2 linked regions of the Mus musculus genome follow. Each later gene encodes a partner of the first gene's protein in a complex. Links are inferred from orthologs where the notes say so. Each region holds a gene or a part of one and is shown in the gene's direction. Other genes may lie near its edges.

Region 1 (3,500 bases):
CTAGAAGATAACCTTTTCCAAGAATAGCAACACTCAGCAGCAGCAGCAGCAGCAGCATCCTAACCCATTGACTAAGCCAACCGAGATAGTGTCTGACATAGCTGATACAGAAAGGAACTCTGAGAACTCGTGATTAGTGGAATAATATTGATAGTTTACTCAAATGTACATTTCATGGTATAAATAATACTAAGAATATATTTAAAGCTTTTATTTAATTGCATACTATAGCTGATAAAACTAAATACATTATAGTAGAGCAGGAAGTGTAGCTAAATTGACACTAGACTATATAGATTGCAAGTAAAATAATTTTGACTTCATGAATTGAGTCAGTCAACTTAATTTTCTATATACTTTATACAAAAATGGAGCATAATTATATGTTTATATATGTATATAAAGATTAGTACATATAAAATACAATTTCAGGGAGCTCTTTGGCACACTAGAATATACTATATGTTTCTTGGTGATTTATATTTCAAATTTGTTTACTAGCAAAATTAATAAATTACTAGAGATTTAGACTTGAAATCATTGCAGTCATTAAATTACTGTCAAAAATGCTCAATTGATAGCTTTAAAATAAGAATATCTGTGGTTCAAAATATGGCTCAGGGTGGATATGATATGGATAGAGCACTTGCTATAGAATCCAGAACGACCTGAACTTGCATCCCAATCATGTACATAAAAGCTAAGCTGGCAGTCATGTCTATCATCCCTGTGTTGGTGAAGCAGACACAGGTGGATCCAGGAGCCTGCAGGCCAGCCAGTCTAGTGGAAAAGAGGAGTTCCAAGTTCAGTGAGAGACCTGTCTCAAAACATAGATGTAGGAGTCGTTAGGAAAGACATCCCTGCATGTACTACCAGACACACTCACACATACACAGAGAGAGACAGAGACACAGAGAGACAGACAGAGACAGAGACAGACAGAGACAGAGAGAGTCTGAGAGAGAGACACAGACAGAGACACAGAAAGAGATGTATGTGTGCAGACACACACAAATTTTTCAACAACTTTAGTTCAAGGGCATTGATCAACTAAGACAATGGTAGAAATATATTCAAGGTTTAGTAGAGAAGCATATTCTGGCACTAAAATTAATTTTTTAACTTTATCTTACACTCAAAACCAGTTTTTCAAACAAACCAATAATCATTTACTTACTGAGCTGTAGATTTGTTTGTGCTAACTCTCTTACAAGAAGGCAGGCTTCTTACAGCTACATGTTCTGAACCCATGAAGTACTTGGATTCCTGAGTACCTCTGTAAATTCTCTCTCTCAGGTTCTCCATTTCTATGCTGCTTAAGAATCAATTTCAGGGAAAATGTATTGACTTACTAATATATATGTCAATATGAGTAATTGTGTCTTAAATGATTGTACTGAGTATTCAAAACATGATTGACAAGCTATCTCACATGTGTGCACATTTTAGGGTAACATTGGTGGACTGATTTCCTTCATATTAGTTCTTTTTCCTCTAGGGTTAAAGGACATTCTGTTATATTGAGCTTGTGTATCTAATTTCTCCGTCTTCCAAATCCACAAGTTCTGTTCTTCTCATTTCCTCACTCATCACAGACCACTGAGTGGCGGGAAAAAGCCAAATGTCTGTGAATCACAGAGCATCTGCATCAGAATCAGTAAATAAGTCAACAGTAAAGCATCCAAAATTGAGATGTTTATCCTTTGTGAGTTCCCTAAATGGTTGCTTCTAACAGTTCCATCCTTGGCAGGTTATGAACGCAAATCTTCAACTGGTCAAATCAGTAGAGAATCTAGGAATGGAAAGATTTGGAAAAACATCAGGAAAACTTGCTGCAAGATAGTAGAGAACAGCTGGTTTGAGTGTTTCATTGGCCTGGTCACTCTGCTCTGCACAGGCACTCTGGTGAGCTCTCAGCCTCAGGAAATGTCATGTGAAAATATGCTCTACGACTAACAATTCAGATTGTCACTATGCCAAATGACTTTACTCAGGATACTTAATATAACACCAGAGTTCATTTTCTGCACTCTGTTAGCATTACAAAATACATCACACCTTATTAGAAACATTGTAGATGATTAGATAGTAAATTTAATATCAATGTGATTTTAAGTTATATTAATTTTTATCAACGGTGTGTTTATGGTAAACTTTATATTTATAATATATACAAATGTTTAATATGAGTATTTAAGTAACAAAATTAAATAAACAATGATTTCAAAATGTACATTTTGTAATTGGAAAGGAAAGTGAAAATATATACTTGGTTCTACTGGTTTTATTAAAGTTTTACTCATTAATAAATTCCACAGATTAACACCCCCAAATTGATATAGTGTGCTTTTCTAAAATTGTAGTAAAAGCCACTGAAAATTGGTGTCTGAGAAGAAACAAATGAACGAGTCCAGGTAGCTAGCTATGACTTGGTTGCTAACAAGCATCAGAAGTCTACAACCATATTCTGACTACACACAATAAGTTTCTCCATGGGTAGCCATCAATTTGTGGATTTCTTCTTCACTTTATACATTTGTTTGATCTTCATAAAATCTTTTTCAATAGGATGTGCATGCGTGTTTCCTCCCCATCCCTTTTGTTGTATAGCACATAACTTTGCAGTGATGACGTAAGTGTCAGTCATCCCTGTTTGCCGGGTAAACACTTTCTTTTTAAAAAAAAAATAATTTCTTGGTACAAGCACTCAAAAAGTCAGTCAAATGACATCTCAGTTTATATGGAGCACCTACTATGACATCCAGTTTTCTATTCTGTCCAGGAACAAACACTTAAAAAGTCACTTATCTTATAGGTAGGGAACAGAAGGCTTGGACACCGTTCCCCCCCCCCCCAGGAGGACGGCCAGGTGCTCCTTGCAGTTTCTTTCTCCATCACAAGTTCCTTTTGAAGATATCATGCTATCTTCCTGTTGCTCAAATGCACAGGCTACAAAGAGTGTAGCTAAAATTTCAGATAACCCTTCTTTCACTAGATCCAGCTGAAAAGAAATAAGTAATTCAAGTCACCTTATAAATAGGTTAGACCAGTATTGTCAAGCGTGGAATTTTGCCTTTGGGCCTGAGGTGCTCCAGAGAGCATTGTCTTTTCTTAGTAGCAGAAAGTGCCTTTTCCCCTATAGCATCTTGTGAACTTTCCATTCCATTCCTTGTTTATGTATAATGTTCAATTCACAGGACATCATAATGTAGCAGGTTAAGTTGGTGTGCAGCTTTGTATCACTGGAAAGTATTTTCACAGCAGTGTATCTGTCCTCTTTCTCAGCCTTGTGCTGTTTCTTCGATTCAATGGCCATCTGAATAATGGCCCCTAATTGTGTCCATATCTATCCTCACTTAAATGACAAAAGATCCCTGACAATGTGACTAAATTCAAGATCTTGAAGAGATCCTAGGTTCTCCATACGAATCAGAATTAAGCACAGTGGTCCTTATGGACACAAGATGCAAGCATTAGGGCCAAAGCACTATTAAAATGAG
Region 2 (3,500 bases), on another chromosome or scaffold:
CAGGCCTGTAATCCCACCCCTCAGAGAGTAAATCGGGATTGTGAGTTCAAGGTAAACTTGGGCTACAAGGCAAGACCCTGTCTCAAAACACTGAAAGAAAAACAGATTAGCTGTGTCAAACTGATTTTTATAACTTTTAATATTGAGCATAATTGAATTTCGTTTCCATCTGCCAGGCTGAAATGTTGGAAGACAAGCCTGTTCTGTGTCCAAGTTTAGTATCCCGTGCTCCCCGACTTGCTCCTTATCAGGTCTTGCGGTCTGGTCTTCTCAGCCACTTTGGGTGTGGACTTATGGAACAGCTTCCTTTTGTTAAATGCAACATGCCATCCAGACTTGTTCTGAACAATTGCAGAATTCCTCCCCCTCCTTCCTTCTGCACACTGTACATCTGTTAATGTATCCCACGTTTGTTCTTGTTTGGTTGGCATCAATGCCCTGCTTTTGATTCATTCTAAATTTGCAATCTGACATAGTCACCTTCGATCCTTGGACTTGGGAGTTTCTAGAGGGTAGAAACCCAAAGTCCAAACCTCCATATGGTGGACAATGTGTCAGATGATCTGACCCCTCCAGAATTCTAATTTTGCCTCTGTACTCCGCACCGAGCTTGCTCCAGCCTAAGTGGTCAGTTCACCATACTCCCACTGATGTTGCACCGTCCTCCATGGGTCCTCAAACACAGATCTGATTCTGTCTCTCCTATAGAGCATTAGAGCACTTGACATAATACCCCACAGAGCACTGACAGGTCTTTTCAACACAGGTCGTATTGGCCTTTCTGTCTCATGTCCCACCAGCCCTGTCTTCCTTTCTCCCCAGCCAAACCCAAGTAACTAACTGCCTGTCTGGGAGAACTGGCCACCTTACTAAAATGACCCTTTGTGTGTTCTGGTTGAATCACCAAAGAAATGTTTTGTCGGTTGGGTTATATATGCATCGAGAGCATGGCTAGTAGGTTGTTCATCCTAGGATCTCTAATCCAGCATCAGACCAGGCAAAGAATGGATTTCTATGCCTGCTGGGTGTGTTCACATGGGTGAATAGTTGATGGATGGAAGCATGTATGACCCCACTAGACTGCAAGTCTTTTGGGGTCAAGCTTAAGACTATCCTTTGCTGCATCTTCATGGCTTCCAGTCACTGTTGAAGGATCCACTCCGCACCATCTTGCTCTAGGCTCATCCTGATCATGCATACTCAAGGAGCCCCAGTAATGGATACAAACATGGATCTCACTGTTTTCAAGTATGTCTCAATGATTTATTTTTCTTCTCTCTCTTTCCCCCTCCCTCCTCATCCCCCCCTGCCCACTCTGGCTGTCCCTTTCTTGCCACCCATCCTCTCTCCAGTCAGAGTCTGCTTCCCTGTGTGTGTAGAAGTACCCTCGGAGACAGAAGCCGTGCAGGGCAATTCCATGAAGCTGAGATGCATCTCCTGCATGAAGAGGGAGGAGGTGGAGGCCACCACTGTAGTGGAGTGGTTCTACAGGCCTGAGGGCGGTAAAGATTTCCTTGTATGTCAGACTGCCGCCTCTGGCTTTTCATGTGCTGGCCTATGGTGCTGTGTGCCTGGTTCCTAACAGTCTGGATAATGATGCCCTGACTTGCTCTCATGCCTTTCCTGAACCCTGACATCTTCTCAGCAGATAACTGACAGCCTTGTATGAACCCAGGGTCTTTCAAGGTAGATCACTTGGGCAGGGGTGAGCAGCCCTGGTTACAAGCAGGAACCATTATAAGAGGGAAACATATCGAGAGAACCTGTGTGGGCTAGGCTCCCAGGTAGACCTTTTATGGGTATGGTCATCTTCTGCACAGTACTATGAAATGGATTTAATGAAACGGAAAGAAAGAACACAGGCAACTTCCTGAAAAGTAGCTCAGGTGAGTTCTTTGAACTCTCACAGTCCCGGTGAAGCAGGAGCAACTTGGGGTGACCGCAGCTTGTGTCAACCGCTATGCCCAGGACAGCCACCTCTGTAAGTAGGTGCTTAGCATGTTCTTGCCCTGCTCTGTATCCCAGGTGGCCATGCTCCATTCTTATCTAGGAGGAATCCTCAGTCTTCCCCTCCCAATGATCTTGACACCAAAGGGTTCATGCCTGGCAGGAGAAGAAGCCCTGCAGGCTCTGTGCCAGGCTCAGGGCCAGGGTCAGGGTCAGAGTGAGGGTCAATTTCGGTTCTGGTTTGGGACAGTACTCATGGGGCTGTGATTCATTTAAATCTTTGTCAATACTTTCACTGACTCTGGAGCCAGGCCATCCAGGTTCCATTCTTTTCTCGGCAGTATTTAGCTACATGCCCTTGGTCATATTTAACCTCTGATTTTTCTAATTATTTTTTTCTTTTAAGTGGGAATAAAAACAAAAACTTCATTTGGGGTTGTTACCAAGAGTCATGAGCTCTGATTTTTAATGCCCTTAAAATAGTCCTTGAAATATGATAAGTGCTTGTTAGAAAGAAAAAAAAAACCACGAAACTCAAAAGAGGAACATTAAATTAGATTACATACACACATTAGATTTTTAGATTTACATACACACATGCACATGAGTTTAGATTTGCACATGGTGGTCTGATGGCAGACCCAAGTCTCCTTATCTTGATTTCTCTTATTTTCCTGGGTCTCTCCCACAATATTTAATGAAGACAACATGGTGGAAGTGACTTTCATCTGTTCGTTCTTTCTTTCCCCTTCGGTGGGCTCATTTCTGAATCTAAGTTCCATGTGGCACTTGCATCTAAGTTGGCTCCCTATCTGGTGCCAAAGCAAGGGCCAACAATGACTTTTTAGAGTCTTAGAATCATATACCAGGGAGGGTACAATTCAGATTAATGCCCAATTTCTAGGAGGCCAGAGGTCTTGGCTCGATATGAAGGGCCCATGGGGTTTAGGCCTGTGCGCTTGCTAGCCGCATTCACTGCTTCCACACCGTCCCAACCAGTTGACCCAACCGAGGAACTAAATTGTGGTTAATGTCTAGGAAATATGAATTCCAATTTCAGTCACCATCCATGGCTAGTGGAGACTAGATGAAAGCAGTGTGGTGTCAGAGAATGTTTGAGCTGGAAGCCGGGAAGACCTGACTTTGGTTCTAACTCTGCCCAAAGCAAATGCTCTCCGAGCATCTCTCCGTGGTGAGGTCTCAGCTCACGGGGCACCCTTCAGCATCATGCATTGGCCTGGCCAGGTTGTGCCATATTCACCATGGTAGATGGCATCTCAGAGCGTCAGGTTTCAAGCTCAGGGCTGTCAGGTATCTTCCCTGTTAACACAGTCGCCTTGTTGGTCTCTATGTCCTTCTCCCTCCCTGGCTGCCTTATCCCATATCTCACCACCCTTTACCTGCTTTCTGTCCCCAACCATTCGTTTTCTTCTTCCTAGTCTCCTTTCTTCTCCACCCCACTCCTTTTTTCTCCCAGCATTCTTTTTGACTACTCTATGCTGCCTCTCCCCTTACCATGCCATCTGTTTGCCTCTACCTACCTTGCTCTGTCT

The links. Proteins that work in one complex are often made in the same cells at the same time.
Region 2: the proteins of Scn7a (region 1) and Scn3b are in contact, whole or in part, in a cryo-EM structure (PDB 7TJ9), measured with the Homo sapiens proteins. The link is inferred for Mus musculus from reciprocal best matches to the Homo sapiens genes SCN7A and SCN3B. Residues at the interface, in NP_002967.2 of Homo sapiens: Arg269, Glu293, Tyr296, Leu298, Glu299, Leu305, Gln315, Cys316, Pro317, Glu318, Gly319, Tyr320, Asn922, Ile923, Thr926, Cys927, Lys929, Ile930, Phe939, Ile956, Tyr957, Asp959, Gln960, Ile966, Tyr970, Met973, Ile974, Tyr977, Ile978, Leu981; in NP_001035241.1 of Homo sapiens: Val25, Cys26, Val27, Glu28, Val29, Arg44, Ile46, Lys50, Arg51, Glu52, Glu53, Val54, Asn95, Gly96, Ser97, Asp99, Gln101, Asp102, Phe126, Phe128, Ala130, His131, Pro133, Val135, Thr154, Ser155, Ser158, Glu159, Met162, Leu165.

The regions. Positions count from the first base shown.
Region 1 is NC_000068.7:66,690,911-66,694,410, reverse strand, and holds part of Scn7a (sodium channel protein type 7 subunit alpha), read left to right. Parts: intron 1-1,750; coding exon 1,751-1,905; intron 1,906-3,500. UniProt on the Homo sapiens protein: Sodium leak channel functioning as an osmosensor regulating sodium ion levels in various tissues and organs. While most sodium channels are voltage-gated, SCN7A is not and lets sodium flow through membrane along its concentration gradient.
Region 2 is NC_000075.6:40,275,716-40,279,215, forward strand, and holds part of Scn3b (sodium channel subunit beta-3 isoform a precursor), read left to right. Parts: intron 1-1,352; coding exon 1,353-1,516; intron 1,517-3,500. UniProt on the Homo sapiens protein: Regulatory subunit of multiple voltage-gated sodium (Nav) channels directly mediating the depolarization of excitable membranes.